Linked DNA regions of Ovis aries. The protein of the gene in region 2 purifies or fractionates together with the protein of the main gene of each other region. This does not show direct contact. Links are inferred from orthologs where the notes say so. Each region holds a gene or a part of one and is shown on either strand. Other genes may lie near its edges.

Evidence for each region.
Region 1: the proteins of TP53RK (region 2) and OSGEP purify together in Homo sapiens (affinity purification with mass spectrometry; 5 studies listed by BioGRID and IntAct, counting the BioPlex papers as one, with this or other methods). This does not show direct contact. The link is inferred for Ovis aries from reciprocal best matches to the Homo sapiens genes TP53RK and OSGEP.
Region 3: the proteins of TP53RK (region 2) and GON7 purify together in Homo sapiens (affinity purification with mass spectrometry; 5 studies listed by BioGRID and IntAct, counting the BioPlex papers as one, with this or other methods). This does not show direct contact. The link is inferred for Ovis aries from reciprocal best matches to the Homo sapiens genes TP53RK and GON7.
Region 4: the proteins of TP53RK (region 2) and NUP43 purify together in Homo sapiens (affinity purification with mass spectrometry; 3 studies listed by BioGRID and IntAct, counting the BioPlex papers as one, with this or other methods). This does not show direct contact. The link is inferred for Ovis aries from reciprocal best matches to the Homo sapiens genes TP53RK and NUP43.
Region 5: the proteins of TP53RK (region 2) and LAGE3 purify together in Homo sapiens (affinity purification with mass spectrometry; 5 studies listed by BioGRID and IntAct, with this or other methods). This does not show direct contact. The link is inferred for Ovis aries from reciprocal best matches to the Homo sapiens genes TP53RK and LAGE3.

The regions. Positions count from the first base shown.
Region 1 is NC_056060.1:24,949,595-24,953,819, forward strand, and holds the start of OSGEP (tRNA N6-adenosine threonylcarbamoyltransferase), read left to right. Parts: upstream 1-1,413; 5' UTR 1,414-1,588; coding exon 1,589-1,703; intron 1,704-3,100; coding exon 3,101-3,220; intron 3,221-3,400; coding exon 3,401-3,576; intron 3,577-4,225. Other genes in the region: APEX1 (DNA-(apurinic or apyrimidinic site) endonuclease), read right to left, coding at 136-323, 557-614. UniProt on the Homo sapiens protein: Component of the EKC/KEOPS complex that is required for the formation of a threonylcarbamoyl group on adenosine at position 37 (t(6)A37) in tRNAs that read codons beginning with adenine.
Region 2 is NC_056066.1:75,355,044-75,359,169, reverse strand, and holds the start of TP53RK (EKC/KEOPS complex subunit TP53RK), read left to right. Parts: upstream 1-1,320; 5' UTR 1,321-1,340; coding exon 1,341-1,623; intron 1,624-3,999; coding exon 4,000-4,126.
Region 3 is NC_056071.1:55,648,938-55,653,060, forward strand, and holds the start of GON7 (EKC/KEOPS complex subunit GON7), read right to left. Parts: upstream 2,805-4,123; 5' UTR 2,748-2,804; coding exon 2,540-2,747; intron 1-2,539. Other genes in the region: putative E3 ubiquitin-protein ligase UBR7, read left to right, coding at 3,002-3,151. UniProt on the Homo sapiens protein: Component of the EKC/KEOPS complex that is required for the formation of a threonylcarbamoyl group on adenosine at position 37 (t(6)A37) in tRNAs that read codons beginning with adenine.
Region 4 is NC_056061.1:74,004,753-74,008,265, reverse strand, and holds part of NUP43 (nucleoporin Nup43), read left to right. Parts: intron 1-103; coding exon 104-181; intron 182-1,172; coding exon 1,173-1,353; intron 1,354-3,154; coding exon 3,155-3,290; intron 3,291-3,513. UniProt on the Homo sapiens protein: Component of the Nup107-160 subcomplex of the nuclear pore complex (NPC). The Nup107-160 subcomplex is required for the assembly of a functional NPC.
Region 5 is NC_056080.1:79,963,682-79,966,681, reverse strand, and holds LAGE3 (EKC/KEOPS complex subunit LAGE3), read right to left. Parts: upstream 1,701-3,000; 5' UTR 1,654-1,700; coding exon 1,460-1,653; intron 1,136-1,459; coding exon 1,007-1,135; intron 842-1,006; coding exon 727-841; 3' UTR 507-726; downstream 1-506. UniProt on the Homo sapiens protein: Component of the EKC/KEOPS complex that is required for the formation of a threonylcarbamoyl group on adenosine at position 37 (t(6)A37) in tRNAs that read codons beginning with adenine.

The DNA.
Region 1 (4,225 bases), on a different chromosome or scaffold from region 2:
ATTTGAAAAATAACAAGGTTTTTCGGGTGAAAACCTAGTACCTTTCCCACAAGAAAACTATCGTGCTAGGGACTAAGATGGAAAAAGATGATTAAACCCTAAGATCAGCCTCTGCACCCCCTTAATTCCACTCACATCTAAACCTTTCTTCTTAATCCAGGCTCGAAGCCCATCCACATTCCACGAGCAGATCTTGAGTGTGGCTGATTTGCCACTGGGTGAGGTTTTCTGATCTGGGGGGTCTTCATACAGAACTGCGCCCTCTCCTACTGCCTCTTTTTCGTTCTTTTTCGCTCCTGCCTTACTCTTCTTCGCCTCTGGCTCTATAAAATAAGTAATACATAATGGGATATAAGTTGGCGGTATCCAACTTTGATCCAGAGTAAACTATAGACCCACTAAGAGCCTGCAGCTGCCGCGACTTCTTCATAAATGAGAATACTGTCGGTGTCGGTCTGGACTTTCCGTTCAACGGTCCGTACTTCCCGTTCAACTAGGTAATTATAGACATCCCCATCGCCGCCTCTGGGGAGAGGGGCCCATTTCATTCTCTTACCAGTCTTGGGCTCTTCCGCGTCTTCGACCACCGCTCCCTTTTTCCCACGTTTCGGCATCACTGTAATGTAGGCCCTTCTGCACCAGTTCCACTTCGCCCACTGAAGCAGTATTTTGATCGCGTTGCCTACAAGTGCAAAGAAGTCGTGAAACCAGCTAGAGCAGAAGACTCCACCCTCAACGCCCACGTACCAAGTACCGCCTTTGAAACTGTATTATCTCTGAATTCTTTCCCCGCCTCCGTGCACCATCAGCCTTTCAGCCCCTCACCCCTCAGACTAGATCATTTCATCGTGTCTTATACACTTCTCGCGAGATCCGCCCTCCGGCCAAATGAGGGACTTAATTGAGAGTCCCGACCTAGCCTTGCGAATCAGACGTCCAGAGAAGCTGCTAAGATGGGCAAAACAACACAAACCCTTCAGCTGACCTGCTTCGGCCCCTGTCTGCCTCCTCCTTAACCCAGCACAAAGAATGGAGCACGCCGTGCCCCACGTGGGTAACTGGCGTGGTCACGTGATTTGAGATGCTCATCCAGGGGTGGAGGAATACGGGTCATTGGTCTAGTTGTACCACGTGACTCAAAAGCTTCCCGCCCTTCTGGACTCCGGGACACTGAAGGCCCCACCCTCCATTCTTGGACTGTTTATCAATATGCCGGATTCACAACTCTTTCTGCCACCCTGACTAGAGATCCCAAAGCTGTGTAAGAGAGAACAAAATCAGTGGAAAAGGCTGGGCTGGACTATCGGAGAGAAGCAGAGGAACGGATAGGAATTTAAGGAGCAGACGCCGGCTCAGCGTTCCCGGCAGTTAAGCGAACAGGCCCTCGAAGGGGTCTTGATGGGTCGTCGTAACGACAGAGATTGGGACCGGCGCTGGCGCGCTACGTACGGGAATATTTTGGTAGTTGTTGTTCTGGTTGGCGCGGCTGCTTAGCAGCCACTGGCTCATCCTCCTACTCTGCGACCCGGAGTCTGCGTCCCAGCGCGGACTGGTGAGGGCTCCTTGGCTCCAGTGCTAGCTCGGAGCCATGCCGGCGGTGCTGGGTTTGGAAGGCAGCGCCAACAAGATTGGCGTGGGAGTGGTACGGGATGGCAAAGTACTGGCGAATCCGCGGCGGACTTACGTCACGCCTCCCGGCACAGGTGAGGATTTGCGGATTTGTAACTCGTGGCGCAATTTTCCGCACAGCATCCCCTGCCGTCTTTCTAAACGTTGGTGAAGAGTGCGCATTGTGTCTCATAATTTTTGATCCTAGTTTCTGAGATTATGTAACGGTAAAAGGGCTTCCCAGTTGGCTCAGTGGTAAAGAATCTGCCTGCAGTACAGGAGACTTGAGTTCGATCCGTGGGTCGAGATCCTCTGGGGAACGGAATGGCAACCCACCCCAGTATTCTTGCCTGGAGAATCCTATTGACGGAGGAGTCTAATGGATTACAGTCCATGAGTTGGACAAGACTAAGCACGCACACACATTATCCCGAAGCTGATGGGTAGAAGAGTTACAGGCACTTGAAACTGGATCTTCTGAGTTGTTCAGCCTATACTGACCACCTTTTATGTGCTAATTATCGGCTGCCCTTAGAATATTCGGTAGTTGTTTTTGGACTTCTGTACTTTGTTCTTAAAATGGGAATGATATTACCTGCGTCATTTGGTCTGGAGAGTTAAAGTATCGGATACACTGACAACTTTCCGTAAATGTTATTTCTAAGCTCTGTTGTCTTTGCTACCTTTCCCCCAAACACCTCCTTCCATAGGAGAGGGCAGCAGGCTTGTGTATACCTGAAAAGCCTCCCTGAACAGGTGATGTTGTAACAGGTTACTCGTTAGAAATGGATATATATGTTTAGCACTCAAGCTTCTCGGCATTTGGCACCAAGCTGCAAAGTCGCTTCAGTCGTGTCCGACTCTGCGTGACCCCATAGACGGCAGCCCACCCCCCCGTCCCTGGGATTCTGCAGGCAAGAACACTGGAGTGGGTTGCCATTTCCTTCTCCAATGCATGAAAGTGAAAAGCGAAAGTGAAGTCGCTCAGTCGTATCCGACTCTTAGTGACCCCATGGACTGCAGCCTACCAGGCTCCTCCGTCCGGAGGATTTTCCAGGCAAGAGTACTGCAGTGGGGTGCCATTGCCTTCATTGGCACCAAGAATGTGAAGATAAAACAGGCAGTGCTTTGAGATGCTCATGGTTAAGCTGGGAAAAGTACCGATTAACTATAATGCTGTAATTGTTACATGTTACATATAGTATGTTAATATAAATGATGTTACCATGCACAGTGTTTGTAGAGTCACAGGGCATCACCAAAAAGTATGAGATAGGTATCATTGAGTCCTGAATAGGAGTTAGTTATGAAGAAGGGCATTGCTCAGAGCTGTTTAGCTTAGCTGAACAGGCTGAAAAGACTATATCTGAAGACAGGATGTTTGAGGAAAAGGGAGGGGACTCTTCCTACCCTACTGAAATGTCTGTTTTGACTTCTAGGTGCCTTTCTGTAGGAAAATTCTTAGGATCTCTGACTTGTGTCCGTCTCCTAGGATTCCTTCCAGGTGATACTGCTAGGCACCACCGAGCTGTTATCCTGGACCTGCTGCAGGAGGCACTAACAGAGGCTGGATTAACCTCTGAGGATATTGATTGCATCGCATACACCAAAGGTATAGCTAGAAGTGTGCACAGCAGTGGAAGAATATACCTGGAACCCAGCTAGGTCAAAATAGTCTGCACCTCACCTTTGAAACCACCACTACATCCGCTGTACCTTCACATCCCCCGCTTCCCTCAACTCTGTTTTTCCCAATCTCTATAGGATTCTAAGCCCTATTCTGTCCCCATAGGTCCTGGCATGGGTGCCCCACTGGTTTCTGTGGCTGTTGTGGCCCGTACTGTGGCCCAGTTATGGAATAAGCCATTGCTGGGTGTTAACCACTGTATAGGTCACATTGAGATGGGCCGCCTCATCACTGGAGCCACCAACCCAACTGTGCTGTATGTCAGTGGAGGAAATACACAGGTATTTAGAATTCTTCACGGTTCTTTTTTTTTTTTTCCCCTCAGATTTTTGGGTATTTTTAATAACTGAAACAAAACAGATCTAAAACCACAGCTTCTAGAAGAACCATCTGTTCTTGCTGGTTTTGTATCTTTCCTCAAACTTGACCTTGACCTCTTGTTGGGATGCACATTTAAGAGCAGGGTATCTGAAGACATTCTCCTTGGCCACAGTTTTTTCCAAGGGGATACCTACAGAGTACCTTGTGGGCTTGAAGTGGTATACTTCAAGTTACAAACTTTCACAAAAGACTTGCTCTCTGACCTCCTGGCAGTTTTCTTCTTGCCCATGGTAGCTTTCACTTTGTACCTTGCTAGCAAGGTAGCAAGATCATAGGTGTTCATGATGACTGGCCAGGGGCATCACCACCTCCCAGGTTTCATGAACTTGGCCATTTTGACAGAAGCCATTCAGGACTACAGCAGAAGAGTTCCACCAGTCCTTCTTAATTTCTGAGGCACTGTGCTAGCAACTTTCACTTTCTGCCTGAGTGGTAGGAAAACTGGGCTCATCTGAAGCTAAAAAGTGATACACTGGAACATTGGATGACCTTTATACGTGGCTATCGAGATGAGGAATTTCCAGCTTAGAGAAGGAAAAAATAGTAAGG
Region 2 (4,126 bases):
ATGAATCTGCAAGAGGGACATAGGGCCCCATGCAGGACCTCATGGGTCTTTGTCTGAAGCACAACAGGGAGCCACTGAAAGATTTTATTTTATTTTTTTGTTTGTTTGTTTGTTTTTCACTGAAAGATTTTAAACTAGATTTCCTATGGTAAAAGTCAGAACCAGTCTGACTATAGCAAGCCTGGGACTTTTAAATATGTTTGCACAATGGATTTTTCCAAAAGAGGGTGTTGGAAATTGGAGGAAACAAAAAGTGCCCACCAAACTGAAAAGGTATCTTGAGAATGGAAAACAAGGCAGGCAGCTCCATATAATCAACAGAAAAGTTTATTATAAGATAACTTACAGGGTAGATTCAAGTGGACAGAGATCCAGAAGCATTTGCAGCTGCACTTTGAACCTTCAAGAGGCCATTGGGACAATTTTATAGTTAACCTAGGGTTTAGGGGTACATCCTTGGAAACAGGAAGTGCATTCCTAAGTCAAGTTATGAATGGGTAACTAGTTTTTGCAGGAACCAAGAGTACGTCAGCAAAGGTCTTCATCGTTTGGAGGCTAACAAAGCATAGAGGCCACCTGGACCTAAAAATCACTGATGACAGAGAAGATATTTATTTACTACACAGAACAGCCATAGGTAGGGTGAGCAGGACAAAAGGAACTGTACAGACCCAAGATGGCCTCAGTTATGCTAACAACCATACAGAGCAGTTCAGACAGATTTGGTAACCATGGAGATGACCATATGGACACTAAGAATTATGATAATGAAACTACGAACTTGGGAAATTGGGTTTTCCAAACCAAATAGAATTGGTTCTATAGGGGCTTCAAGTAGGCTGAACTGATGAAGGGTGCTGGAAACCACATTAGTACAAAACAAAGGATCTGATGTTTGAAAAGGTTACCTTCCCTGTGTATGAATGAAACGCAGGGACTGTGAAGTGCAACTTCCCAGGATCCAGACAGATTCCTGAGAGCAGATTCCAAGAGACGTTTTTTCAGGGAGACGCCGAAGCTTTCCGGAAATAGCCGAAGAGCTGAGAGACAGCGCCACCAAAGCCAACCGCAAGAGTCACGAAGGGTTTCCGGAAAGAGCCGAGGAGTGGAAAGAGCTCACCGAGAGCAGCCGAGGGTTTACGGAAATAGCCGAGGAGCCGAGTGGCGGGACCAGGAGGCTTAGAAAAGAGCCGAAGAGAGGAGAAACCACTTCCACGAGGCAAAAGGGTCGGCATTAGAGAGGCCGAGGAGGTCCGAGTACTTTCGGAGCGAGCCGAAGCAGCCCCGACAGTTTCCGGAGGCGGCCGAAGGGCTCCGAGCGGCTACGCGGAAACGCGAACATGGCGGCGGCCGGCGCTGCTGCCGCTAAGCTGAACGAGGAGCTGGCGCCCGCGGCCGAAGCGCTGGCCGCAGCCCGGGAGCGGAGCAGCCGCTTCCTGAGCGGCCTGGAGCTGGTGAAGCAGGGCGCCGAGGCGCGCGTGTTCCGCGGCCGCTTTCAGGGTCGCGCGGCCGTGGTGAAGCACCGCTTCCCCAAAGGCTACCGGCACCCGACGCTGGAAGCGCGGCTCAGCCGGCGGCGGACGGTGCAGGAGGCCCGGGCGTTGCTCCGCTGTCGCCGCGCAGGTAAGACGGCCCAGCTTGGGGACGCGGGGGACCCCCGAGGCTCCGGGGCTCGGGCGACGCAGGTGAGGGGCTCCCCTGCGCTGCGGGGTTGGGGGCGAGCGAGATTTGACTCAGTTTCTCCGTTTGTACCTTCTTCACGGCTTTCCATTAAGAAATGTCATCCTTTCATCCTTTTCCTTTCATTAACTCTTAAGAAGCCACTTGACGTTGTAGCGACGAGCATTTGTCCCGGAGCTCTTGGCGCCTGGTTCAGTTCCGACTCTGCCACCTTTACTCAACGTTGAACGTGTCTTTTAACTGCCCCGAGCCTCAGTTTCCCCATCTGTACAATCCCAACTTTCGATCGCTGTTAGTTACTTTCAAGAAGCAGATGTAGTTACAAGTACTTGCCCAGGAGCCAGGGTCTCTGGGTTCACACAGTCTAGTTCAGTTCAGTCCTGTCTCTGCGACTCCATGGACTGCAGCACGCCAGGCTTCCCTGTCCATCACCAACTCCCGGAGCTTGCTCAAACTCATGTCCATCGAATCCGTGATGCCTTCCAACCACCTCTTTCTCTGTTGTCCCCTTCTCCTCCTGCCTTCAGTCTTTCCCAGTATCAGCGTCTTCAAATGAGTCAGTTCTTCACATCAGGTGGCCAAAGTGTTGGAGTTTCAGCTTCAGCATCAGTCCTTCCAGTGAATATTCAGGACTGATTTCCTTTAAGATGGACTGGTTGGATCTCCGGATCCAAGAGTCTTCTCCAACACCACAGTTCAAAAGCATCAATTCTTTGGCGCTTAGCTTTCTTTATAGTCCAGCTCTCACATCCGTACACGACTACTGGAAAAACCATAGCTTTGACTAAACACTATTTTGCACCATGACGGTAAACCTTTGCCTCTGTTGAGAAACAAAGTTCAGAGGGGGGAAGTAACTTCCTCAAAGTTACACAGTTAGTAAGGCTTTCGCCCCCTATCCCTTTGACTCAGAAACACTGGCATTTCACTTTTACACTTTCACCTTTGTTTCTTTCATTGGTAATTTTTTAGGCATCTACTGTACACCAAGACATTGTTAGGTGCTGGGAGATCTGGAAGAAATTCAGGTGCCAACAAGCACACTGTCTCTGCCCTTGCTTGGATTTGCAAAGTTACACATTCATTCGTATTTCCTATTTTCACCCTTTCCAGCAGCTGAGTTCTCTTAATCAGGGATCCCGGTTGTTTTGTTTCCTGCTGTATTTCTACACATTTGTCTCTAGTATCTTGAAGTGTCTTGAGTGTGATTGACATTCAGTAAAGAGTCATTGAATCTTCAAATTCAGTGAAGTTATTGGATTATTGGTAGTACTGATCTCATGTTATAGAAGCAGAAATGGAGGCTTAGAGAAATACATGTGACTTTAAAGATACACAGTTAAAGGAAGGAAGCTGGGATTTGAACTTGTCCTTCCTCTCTGTATTCCTGGTGGCTCAGAGGTTAAAGCGTCTGCCTCCAAGGAGGGAGTCCCTGGTTCGATCCCTGGGTCGCGAAGATCCCCTGGAGAAGGAAATGGTAACCCACTCCAGTATTCTTGCCTGGAGAATCCCATGGACGGAGAAGCCTGGTAGGCTACAGTCCATGGGGTCACAAAGAGTTGGACACGACTGAGCAACTTCACTCTCTTTCCTCCCTGTAAAGGTGCATCTCTAAGCCAGCATGCTGCTTGCTCTCCTGCTTCTGTCCCTGTCAGGAAACTGCTTTCATATGTTTGAACATATAACTAATGGTGCTTACCCTTCTGACTGTTTACTTTGATTTGTATTTTAGGGAAGAAGTATGACAGGGAAAGTGAAAGTCGCTCAATTGTGTCTGACTCTTTGCGACCCCATGAACTGTAGTCCATGGAATTCTTCAGGCCAAAATACTGGAGTGGGTAGCCTGTTCCCTTCTCCAAGGGATCTTCCCAGCCCAGGGATCAAAACCAGGTCTCCCATGTTGCCAGCGGGTTTGTTACCAGCTGAGTCACCAGGGAAACCCAAGAACACTTGAGTGGGTAGCCTATCCCTTCTCCTCTGGACCCAGGAATTGAACTGGGGTGTCCTGCATTGCAGGTGGATTCTTTATCAGCTGAGCTACCAGGGAAGCCCAAATATGACAAATGAAGTTCAATCACAGTGGGTAGAAGGGAGGAGGGAGCTTTGGCTGTGCTGACCTTGCTGTGGTGGTCTAAGCATAGTCTGGCAGGAGAAACTTCCAGAGAAGAAAAGCTGTACCATTCTGCAGCATTCCTAAATCTTTTTCCCAAAATATGCAGATACACACTGGAAAATTTTTCTGACTGAGCTAGAAAATTAAGCTTACTATTAAGAAAAAAAAGGTATCTAATTCAATGACCCCTTATATCTTGGTTACAGGAATATGTGCCCCAGTTGTCTTTTTTGTGGACTATGCTTCCAACTGCTTATTTATGGAAGAAATCGAAGGCTCAGTGACTGTTCGAGATTATATTGAATCCACTCTGGAGACTGAAAAATCTTCCCA
Region 3 (4,123 bases), on a different chromosome or scaffold from region 2:
GTCAAGAGAACACGCTGGTCGTAGCAAACGCCTTTTTCCAATGACCCAAGAGACGCCTCTACACATGGACATCACTATCTGGTCAATACTGAAATCAGACTGATTATGTTCTTTGCAACTTAAGATGGAGAAGTTCCACATAGTCATGATCTGGAGCTGACTGTGGCTCATATCATGAACTCCTTATTATAAAATTCATGTTTAAATGGAAGAAAGTAGGGGAAAATCACTAGGCCATTCAAGTATGACCTAAATAAAATCCCTTATGATTATACAGTGGAGGTGACAAATAGATTCAGGGAATTAGATTTGCAGACAGAGTGCCTGAAGAACTATGGATGGAGGTTTGTAACACTGTGCAGTAGGCAGTGACCAAAACCAATCCAAAGTAAAAGAAATGCAAGAAGGTAAATTGGTTGTCCAAGGAGGCTTTACAAAGAGCTGAGGAAAGAAGAGAGGTGAAAAGCAAGGGAGAAAGAGAAAGATATACCCTTCTGAATGCAGAGTTCCAAAGAATATTAAGGAGAGATAAGAAGGCCTTCTTAATGAACAATGCAAAGAAACAGAAAATAATAGAATGGGAAAGACAGATCTCTTCAAGAAAATTGGAGACACCAAGGGAACATTTCATGCAAAGACAGGCATGATAAAAGGACAGAAATGGTAAGGACCTAACAGAAGCAGAAGAAATTAAGAGGTGGCAAGACTACACAGAAGAACTATACAAGAAGTCTTAATGACACGGATAACCACAATGGTGTGGTCACTCACCTAGAGCTGGATATCCTGGAGTCTGAAGTCAAGTGGACCTTAGGACTATGAACAAACCTAATGGAGGTGATAGAACTCCAGCTGAGCTATTTAGAATCTTAAAAGATGATGCTGTTTGATATGTCAGCAAATTTGGAAAACTCAGCAGCGGCCAGAGGACTGGAAAAGGTCAGTTTTTATTCCAATCCCCAAACCGTATGCAGGTCAAGAAACAACAGTTAGAACCAGGCAGGAAACAACAAACTTGTTCAAAATTGGGAAAGGAGTACATCAAAGCTGTATATTGTCACTCTGCTTATTCCAAGCTGGATGAAGCACAAGCTGGAATCAAGAGTGCCAGGAGAAGTATCAAAAACATCAGATACACAGATAATACCACCTTAATGGCAGAAAGTGAAGAGCAACTAAAGAACCTCTTGATGAAGCTGAAAGAGGAGAGTGAAGAAGCTGGCTTAAAACTCAACATTCAAAGACAAAGAAGATGGCACCCGGTCCCATCACTTCATGACAAATAGAAGGGGAAAAAGTGGAAGCAGTGACAGATTTTATTTTCTTGGGCTCCAAAATCACTGCAGACAGTGACTGTAGCCACGAAATTAAAAGACACTTGATCCTTGGAAGGAAAGCTATGACAAACCTAGACAGTGTATTAAAAGCAGAGACATCACTCTGACGACAAAGGTCTGTATAGTCAAAGCTATGGTTTTTTCAGTAGTCATGTACAGATGTGAGAGTTGGTCCATAAAGAAGGCTGAGTGCTGAAGAATTGATGCTTTTGAACTGTGGTACTGGAGAAGACTCTTGAGGGTCCCTTGGAAGGCAAGGAGATGAAATGTTAATCCTAAAGGAAATCAACCCTGAATATTCATTGGGTGGACTGATGCTGAAGCTGAAGCTCCAATAATTTGGCCATCTGAGGCAAAGAGCTGACTCACTGGAAAAGACTGATGCTAGGAAAGATTGAGGGCAGATGGAGAAGGGGGAGACAAAGGATGAGATGGCTGGATGGCACTGCAGTTTAAATGTACCTGAATTTGAGCAAGCTCTGGGAGACAGAGAAGGACAGAGGAGCCTGGTGTGCTACAGTCCATGGAGTTGCAGAGTTGGACACAACTGAGCGACTGAACCTCAACAACAACAATAGGGGAAGTAAGCCCTGATTCCAATATTTAGTTCTTAGGTTCTTCAGCTCAGGGTATTCAAGACAAGACTTAAGAATACAGTTAAAATTTCCATTTCTGCTTTCAAACTGCACCTACCACACTGGGAAATGAAAGGAGTCCCTGACAGTGAAGCCTTGTTCATCTGAAATCTATTCCAATCTTCAGAACCTGTTTCTATTCTGTAATAGATGGCGGTCTTCCAAACATATTTGTAAGTTCACGCCTGGGAAAATTCCTTTCCATCCTTCTAAGCCCAGCTTAGAAGTCATGCTCTTTCTGAAGCCTTCTTGGGTTCTCTAGGTTTGCAATAGTTACAAAGAAGCCTAGGGTCATTCCTTCTACTCTTTAATAAGAATGTTTGTCTGTCTAACCTCCCACAGAGTTCCACAAGAACAGGAACTGAGTCGCATTCACGTCATTCTTTCTCCAGAGTTCAGCCCAGTGACTGGCACAGGGCCGTAGGCGTTCAGTACGTTTTTTGTGTGACATAAATGAAAAGAGAATCGTCAAAAGCAGTCCTGCTAAACGAGTCCAGGTACAGCCCAAATTTCTCCGGGCGCCCCTGCCCGCCCTCCTGTCACTCGCTGAACCGTCTCAAAGCTCACCGTCCAAGGCCTCGTCGGGAGCCGCCGTCCCCCGGTCCTGTGCTTCCGGCTGTACCTGAGAGCCGAAGAGCTCAGTCACCAGCTCCCTCATCTGAGCCACACCGGACAACAAGCTCTGGAAAGGGTCGGTGACGCCCGGCGCCTCACAAGGCACCCGCAGCTGCTGTCGCTGCCCTTCCAGTCCGACGTACTCGCCCAACAGCTCCATAGCGACCGCTACGCTTCAGGAGCGCGCCACAGTGAGTCGCCACCGGAAACGGAAACCAGCCCGCCGCGGGCGCAGGCGCGGAGAAGGGAGAGGCCTGACTTCCGTTTGTCGGAAGTCGCTCCTCCCCCTTCCTTCGCTCCCTGTCTTTGGGATTGGTGTCTGGCACCGAGGCCCCGCCTCCTCCGGCCCCGCCCCTCGCGGACGCTTTTCCCGCCTCCGCCGGGGCCGGTCGGCGGTCCTGGTGACAGTTGAGGATGGCTGGAGCTGAGGAGCCAGCTGGGCGACAGTCGGAGTTGGAGCCCGTGGTATCGTTGGTCGATGTACTGGAGGAGGACGAGGAGCTGGAGAATGAGGCTTGCGCCGTCCTGGGCGGCAGTGACTCGGAGAAGTGCTCCTACTCGCAGGTGGGCGCGCGGCTCGGCCCTCGCCTCCGCTGAACCTCCCTTTCCCCACCGCCTTACCCTCTCTCTTCCCGCCGGCCGCGGCCGGCCCCCTGTGGTGGTCCAGCGCAGCTGTTGGTCGTAGGCTTCCCCATCCCAGGCCCAGGTGCCCTTTTACACTTAGTCTTCTGAGCCCCTTCTAACCTGTGGCCAGCAGGACGCCCCTCCTTTCTCGATTTTCCTCTGTCAGGCCCCCGACGTTTCTACGGTTTTGGCCCCAGAGCAGCTGCTCTTTCCTTCCTTCCTCGTCTCTTCTCTGTGCCCCGGCCGCTTTTCACCAAACCAACCCCGTGACCTTTCACATCCTGAGTATCTTTGTCCATACTTTTCCCATCCTCAGAGTATTTGCTGGGTACTAAACGGAAGAGTCAAATAATTAAAGGAGAGAGCTCTGGGTTTGAAAATCTCTCCGCGTAGGCTGGACTCCTGGACAGCTGGTTCCTCTGCAGTTTAGTTTGACAGGTGCTAGCTGGTTTTTTTTTTTGGCGAGAGGAAGCAAGTACCACGTCTCTCTGCAGTCGGCCCTCCAGGGGCATAGACCGGAACCCGAACAGCTGGTGGCACTGGCAAAGGAAAGGAGGGGAGGAGAGATGGCATTCGGAAGATGGTGGGAACAAGGACTGGAGGGGGTGTGACGTAGTGTTTGGTGACTCATTCTATGTTTCTAGGTTCAAAAATGGAGAAAGGTGGTAGAAGAAAACTAATGAGAGATGGTACTTGATAGGAAGAAGGTTATCTTCCAGGCAGGTGGAGTGGAACATTGCAGGATGGGGAGAGAGACATGGGGTCTTTACGTGGTGTTGCTTGAGATCACAATACCAGTTGTTATCAATGACCAGTTGAGTTTACACTGCAAAGTGGTTAGATTTTTTTTTTTTTAATACACCTGGCTTCAGAGGTATTTAATGTTGGCTGATATTTTAAAACCTTTGGTCG
Region 4 (3,513 bases), on a different chromosome or scaffold from region 2:
TCTTTGCATTTTAAAATTGTTACACTGCTAATTGAGTTAGATAAATGGGCTTCTTCCCTGCTGATATTTATGAATTTATAACATGCAGGAATTTTCTGTTTAGTTTTTGGACCAGGAAAGAATTGTAGCTGCTTCATCGACAGGATGTGTGACAATTTTCCTCCACCATCCAAATAACCAGGTAAAGAATTTTTGTTTGAAAACTCAGTTTGCATTTTAATTATTTTTAGGAAGGCTTAAAGAAGGCTATACTTAATAATGACAAATTATAAAGTTTTATTGTCTCAAAAACTATAAAAAGGAGGGGAAAATGTCATTGCATTACCCATCTTTTAGTTGACTAATTCTAGAACCATTTCTGTGTGAACTTTCATTGAAATTGGGTAACTCTTCAATTTTCTTAGGTTCCATGTAACAGTATGGTATTCTGGCAAGTGATTTTCCTGTAACTTTCTGTTAAGATCCTCCTCTGGTTTTCTGAAGAGAGAAAGAGCACTTTCTAGCTCAGACATCATGAGAGGGAGCAGGAACAGCTACTCTACTTCTGTGAACAGAACCGAGGTTGTAATTAGAAGGAAAGATACACTATATGAAGGCTTGATACTTTTTCTATGCTTTTCTTATATGTCAAAGGCTAAGAGTGCTGACTTTCAGAGCATAGTTTAAGGGCAGTCCTTTAAAATAGGCCCACTTGAAGTTAACAGTTTTAAGTTGCTGGAAGAGAATGCTTATTTAGATTTGGATATTGATAAAGGTCATCTTACTAATAGACATGCCTAGTAAGTATAAGACCCAGATCTAGTTAAATGTTATTCTTACAGAATCATCTGGAAAGCCCTGCAGAGATTTATCTCTTCAATGTAGATCAGTTCCCTTAAGAATTTAGAGTTGTCTTTGAACACATAATTACCTGATGCTTAAAAACTGTTTCTTTAGTTTGAGATAAGTTTGGAATATTATTAAACAGGGTTTCTTTGGAATCTGATCTGGTGAATACAGAGCTTTAATGGAAGTATTTCCTAGACCTTAATACTTTGAAATACAAAGCGAAAAGAGTACTATTTTTCTAGAAAGGTATGAAACACAGTTTTAAAATAATAGTGTAGTTAGGGAAAGTGCTAATTATTTGGAGCTTTGCTTTAATTAATCATAGCCTCATTTCTGACACCTAGACTCTGTCAGTCAGCCAGCAGTGGACAGCAGCTCACTACCACACGGGTCCAGGCAGTCCTTCCTGTAGCAATGCACCATGCACAGGTGTTGTGTGCAACAACCCAGAAATTGTCACAGTTGGAGAAGATGGTCGGATAAATCTCTTCAGAGCTGATCACAAGGAAGCTGTAAGAACTATAGGTAAGAAAAATCATCTTTCTTTGGTCTATCTTATAGTAATTCAGCACCTCCTGTGTGCAGTGCCAGGGGTTAAATGTTTGAGGGATTTAGAAATATACAAAGCAGGATCCCTTTATCAAGATAGTATGTTGATAAGGCCTGTATGAAGGACTGACTAGAAGAAAGAGAAATTTGTGGGGAGGATGGTTGGAAGGAATTACTGGATAAAGAATTGAGGGGCAGGGCAATTCATTTAATCTAGATTCTAGACCATAAATAATACTGAGAAGTGGCACGCCAGATAAAGGGAATAGCATAGAGGCGGGGTAAGGCCAGTCAGAGAATGACAGAAAGTGTAGTTTGACCTGACTTTAGATATTTGTGTAGGAGAATTGAGAGATGAAACAAGAAAGGTAGATTGCAGTCAGGTTGTGAAAGATAATACCTTTTTTTAGGTAGACAGCTAAGGAGACATTGAAAGTTTTTGAGCAAAGGGGTAATGTACCCACATCGTGTTTTAGAAGGATTATTTAGTGCAGTGGTAGTGGTTTAGTTGCTAAATCATGTCTGACTAGTGTAGTAGTTCTCAACCATATTTTGCACAGACTTGCCCGAGGAGATTTTTAACAGCCCATCACCCTAGACCTCTTGAATTAGAACTTCTATGGATTGAGCCCATGAATCAGTTTTTTGTATTATTATTATCATTTTTAGTTCTGAGAAATACCATTTGTTTAGCTTTGAAAGACTGCTGGCCTGGTGACAGTTTGGAGAAGGGTCACAAAATAAAAGTCTTTAAGTATATACTAAATAAAGATGTATAAGCTTAGACACACTAGAAAAAGCAGAAGGACCATTAAGGCAAACAGGAAGAACTTCATGGCAGAAAAGAGAGCTGATAAGGATAAAGATGAATCAATTTGAGATGAGTCAGCAGAATAATACAGGGTCAGATTGAGCTCTGTAGGAAGCTGTGGTGTTTGGCCCAACAGAATGGAGGTTCTGGATGAAGCACTTGAGTTCAGTTGCTCTTTGCGACCCCATGGACTGCAGCCCTGTCCATCACCAACTCCTGGAGCTTGCTCAAGCTCATATCCATTGAGTCAGGGATGCCATCCAACCATCTCATCCTCTGTCGTCCCCTTCTCCTGCCTTCAATCTTTGCCAGCATCAGAGTCTTTTCCAGTGAGTCAGTTCTTCACATCAGGTGGCCAAAGGATTGGAGTTTCAGCTTGAGCATCAGTCCTTCTAAAGAATATTCAGGACTGATCTGCTTTAGGATGGACTGGTTTGATCTCCTTGCAGTCCAAGGGACTCTCAAGAGTGTTCTCCAACACCACAATTCAAAACCATCAATTCTTTGGCACTAAGCTTTCTTTAAAGTCCAACTTTGACATCCATACATGACTAGTGGAAAAACCGTATCTTTGACTGGATGGACCTTTGCTAGCAAATAATGTCTGCTTTTTAACATGATGTCTAGGTTGTCTAGGGTGAAGCAGTGGTGGGAGATAAAATTGGATTATAAAGAAACTTGAACAGCTGTCTCAGAAATGTAGTACTCTTAAGTGGAAATAGAGAAATATATGAAAACTTAGTCCTCTAGTTGGAAAACAGTTCAGATGTCCTGTGAGTAATATAATTTTTCTATCAAAGGAGAGTCCATTTTAACATATGTTCCTATATTTTTCCATAGAAATAAAATTGTGACTTATTTAAAGTTTCACTTGTAATTTTTCAGTCAACAGAGGGAACACTGTTTAAGGTATTCATGGAAAAGTGGTGCCCTGTTAACATACACTGCAGTTTTCTTAATTTACAGACAATGCAGATAGCAGTACACTCCATGCTGTAACCTTCCTTCGAACTCCTGAGATTCTTACAGTAAATTCAATTGGACAGTTAAAAATATGGGATTTTAGACAACAAGGAAATGAGCCCACGCAGATATTATCACTGTAAGTTTTGATCTGTAATTTCAGTAGTATAAAGCAAATTTGTTTATTTGTAGCAACTAACTTTATAAGCCATATTGTATTTCAATTGCATGTTAAGAGTAATTTCTGATTAACTTTGATAAAGCAAATACAGTTGACCCTTGAACAATATAAGCATTAGAGTCACTGACCCTCTATACACTCGAAAATCCATGTATACTTTATAGTTGGCACTCTACCAGGA
Region 5 (3,000 bases), on a different chromosome or scaffold from region 2:
ACACCACCTGGGAAGCCCCCAATGGTGACACTAATGTGGGGAAACCAGAATTCTGGTGGGAGGGCATTTTATGGACAGTAATTTCACATGCTTCAGATTGAGAGCTTTAAATATTTAATTAATTCTACTTCTTGTAATCTTAATCATTCATGCAAAGATCTATATACAAGTGTTCCATGGAATCATTACCTATAATATGGCAAAGACTGAAAATAGTTTAAACAATCAATAATGATTTTGAAGAATTTTTAGAAAAAAGTTCATGTTAGATGAGAAATACCAGGAAAAATGCTAAACTTGCAAAATATCAAATATTATTATTACACATTTACTATGTAACTATAAAACTCAAAAATACTCCAAAATATTGATAGTAGCTAATACTGAATGAGAGACAGGACCTATCCTCCTCCATTTCTTAGATTATCTTCACTTACACTGTACTACTTGACTATCTGAATCAGAACCCTCCCATCTAAGAACAAATGCAAGAATTTTGAAGGTGCTACAGTTGAAAATAAACTCATCATAGGTCAATTTTATTTTCAGTAGTTAAGAAACATTTAAGTACCAAACAATGCAAGTGGACCTTGAGCACCCAAGGGCCATTATAGCCAAAAGATGAGGCCCCCATAATAGGCAACTAGTGCAGGAATCACTGCCCTAGGAAGGATGCACTGTCTAGGAAGGGCCACCAGATCAGACCCCCCTTTCCCCAGCCCTGGCTTAGCGAGCAACAGGGGGCCCAAAGCGCTGCATGGTTCGCATCACCAGAGAAAGCTGGTCCAGAAAGTTGACAATGGAGATTCGAAGGAGGCGGCAATCTTCAGCTCTCCAGCAGCTGAAAATGACAGAAAAAGAGAATCAAGGTGGAGATGGGTTGAATCAAGGGCACTGCGTCACCTCCATAAACACAGCCCTTGAGTATGTCCAAACAGAGCGCCCCCGGCGAGAGACAAGCTTGGTCACCTGCTACCACTTCCAACCAGCCCCTTTTCCAACTTACACAGCCAGGACATTGCCGCTCACTGTGAGCTCCTTCCCAACCGCCCCACGGTGAGGTTCGGTATCTGGGGCCAGTGACCCATGGGCAATCTCTGCCTCCAACGCGGACGGGAAAGGCACGCTTAGGGTGCTGATGGAGATGCGGTTAAGGTACCACCCACAAGGATTTGGAGCTCTGGGTCCTGTCTCAGGACCGCTTCCAGCCCCTCCGGGCCGCTCGTAGCCCTAATCCAGCCCAGCCACCCCACTGCCCCGAGATCCCATTTCTCCCCCCGACCCACGCCACCCAGGCCCATCCCAGCTTCCAGTCTCCCTTCAGCTCTCTATTCTCTACCCGCCCCAGGCGCCCTGGCCATTCCACCCCCCAGCAGCCCCTGACCCGCCGGTCCGTTTGTCCCACCTCCCACCGCAGGCATCCCCCAGCCCAATCCGCACTGCCCCTCGAGTAGGATACAATACGCATGGTCGGCTTCCCGGCTTTTGGGAAGAGTGCTGGGCCGGCGCGACACCCGGAGCTCCGTGGTCTGCAGCGGAAGCAGCACCCGCGCTGCCGGGGCTGCCCCGGCCACCCCCGAACCCCCGCCGGCCCTGGCTTTCGGCGCCACCCGCCAGGATGCCTGCGCCTACGTCCCCACCTGTCTCCTGCATGGCTGCCGTGCTCCGCCTCCAACCCCACCCACTGGCTCCAGGACTCTCCGTCGCCCACCCGCTACGCGAGCAGCTTAAAAACTGCTGCTTCTTCCTGAAGCGCCGCCCCCGCCCCGCGCGCCGCCCCCGCCCCGCGCGCCGCCCCCGCCCCGCGCGCCGCCCCCGCCCCGCGCGCCGCCCCCGCCCCGCGCGCCGCCCCCGCCCCGCGCGCCGACCCCGCCCCGCGCGCCGACCCCGCCCCGCGCGCCGACCCCGCCCCGCGCGCCGACCCCGCCCCGCGCGCCGACCCCGCCCCGCGCGCCGACCCCGCCCCGCGCGCCGACCCCGCCCCGCGCGCCGACCCCGCCCCGCGCGCCGACCCCGCCCCGCGCGCCGACCCCGCCCCGCGCGCCGACCCCGCCCCGCGCGCTTGCGCAAACAGGTCTGGTGGAGCCGGCCGGCCGAGGGGAATCTCCGTTGGCCGCAGAGAAATGAATCTCCCTTCCTCAGTTCGGGGCTTCCCTTGTAGCTCAGTGGGTAAAGAATCTACCTGCCATGCAAGAGATCCGGGTTTGATCCCTGGGTCAGGAAGATCCCCTGGAGAAGGAAATAGCAACACACTCCAGTATTCCTGCCTGGAGAACCCCATGGACAGAGGAGCCTGGGGGCTACAGTCCGTGAGGTCGCAAGAGTTGGACACGACTTACTGACTAAACCACAGAGTCGGCCACGACTGAGCGACTAACTCTTTCTTTCCCACAGCTCGGGCCTTTCACAAACTGTATGACTCGATTTTAACTTCCCTTTTCTGTTCTGCAAGTTTTTGACAGTAACCTTATACGGCATTTTTAATCAAAAATAAGTTTTTAAAGTGACATGAAATTTCTGATGGTGATAGCCCTGTTAGTTTTCTGTTTTCCTCCTTTGTAATCAGAAGGAAGGGCATAAAGGTGAAGTAGGTTATCAAAGCCTGTTGGATCACCCCTCGAAATCCATCCTGAATCAGCCTACCCTCTCCCCCTTCATTGCTAGTCTCCACCGGTGGCCACCCTATCTCCCTGAACTTGATATATATATTTCACATATAATTTAATTGTTTTTGGCTGTGCTGGGTCTTCCTTCCTGTGAGGGTTTTTGTCTAGTTGCAGCAAGCGGGCTTATTGCAGTGCCTTCTCTTGTTGGCAGAGCTCAGGCTGTAGGGCGCGTGGGCTCTAGAGCACAGTCTCAGTAGTTGTGGTACTTGGCTTAGTGGTTCCCAGGCATGGGGGATCTTCATGGATCAGAGCTTCCAAGTCTCCTGCATTGGCAGGTGGATTCTCTACCACTGGGGCTTCCCTGGTGGATCAGATGGTAAAGAATCTGCCTGCA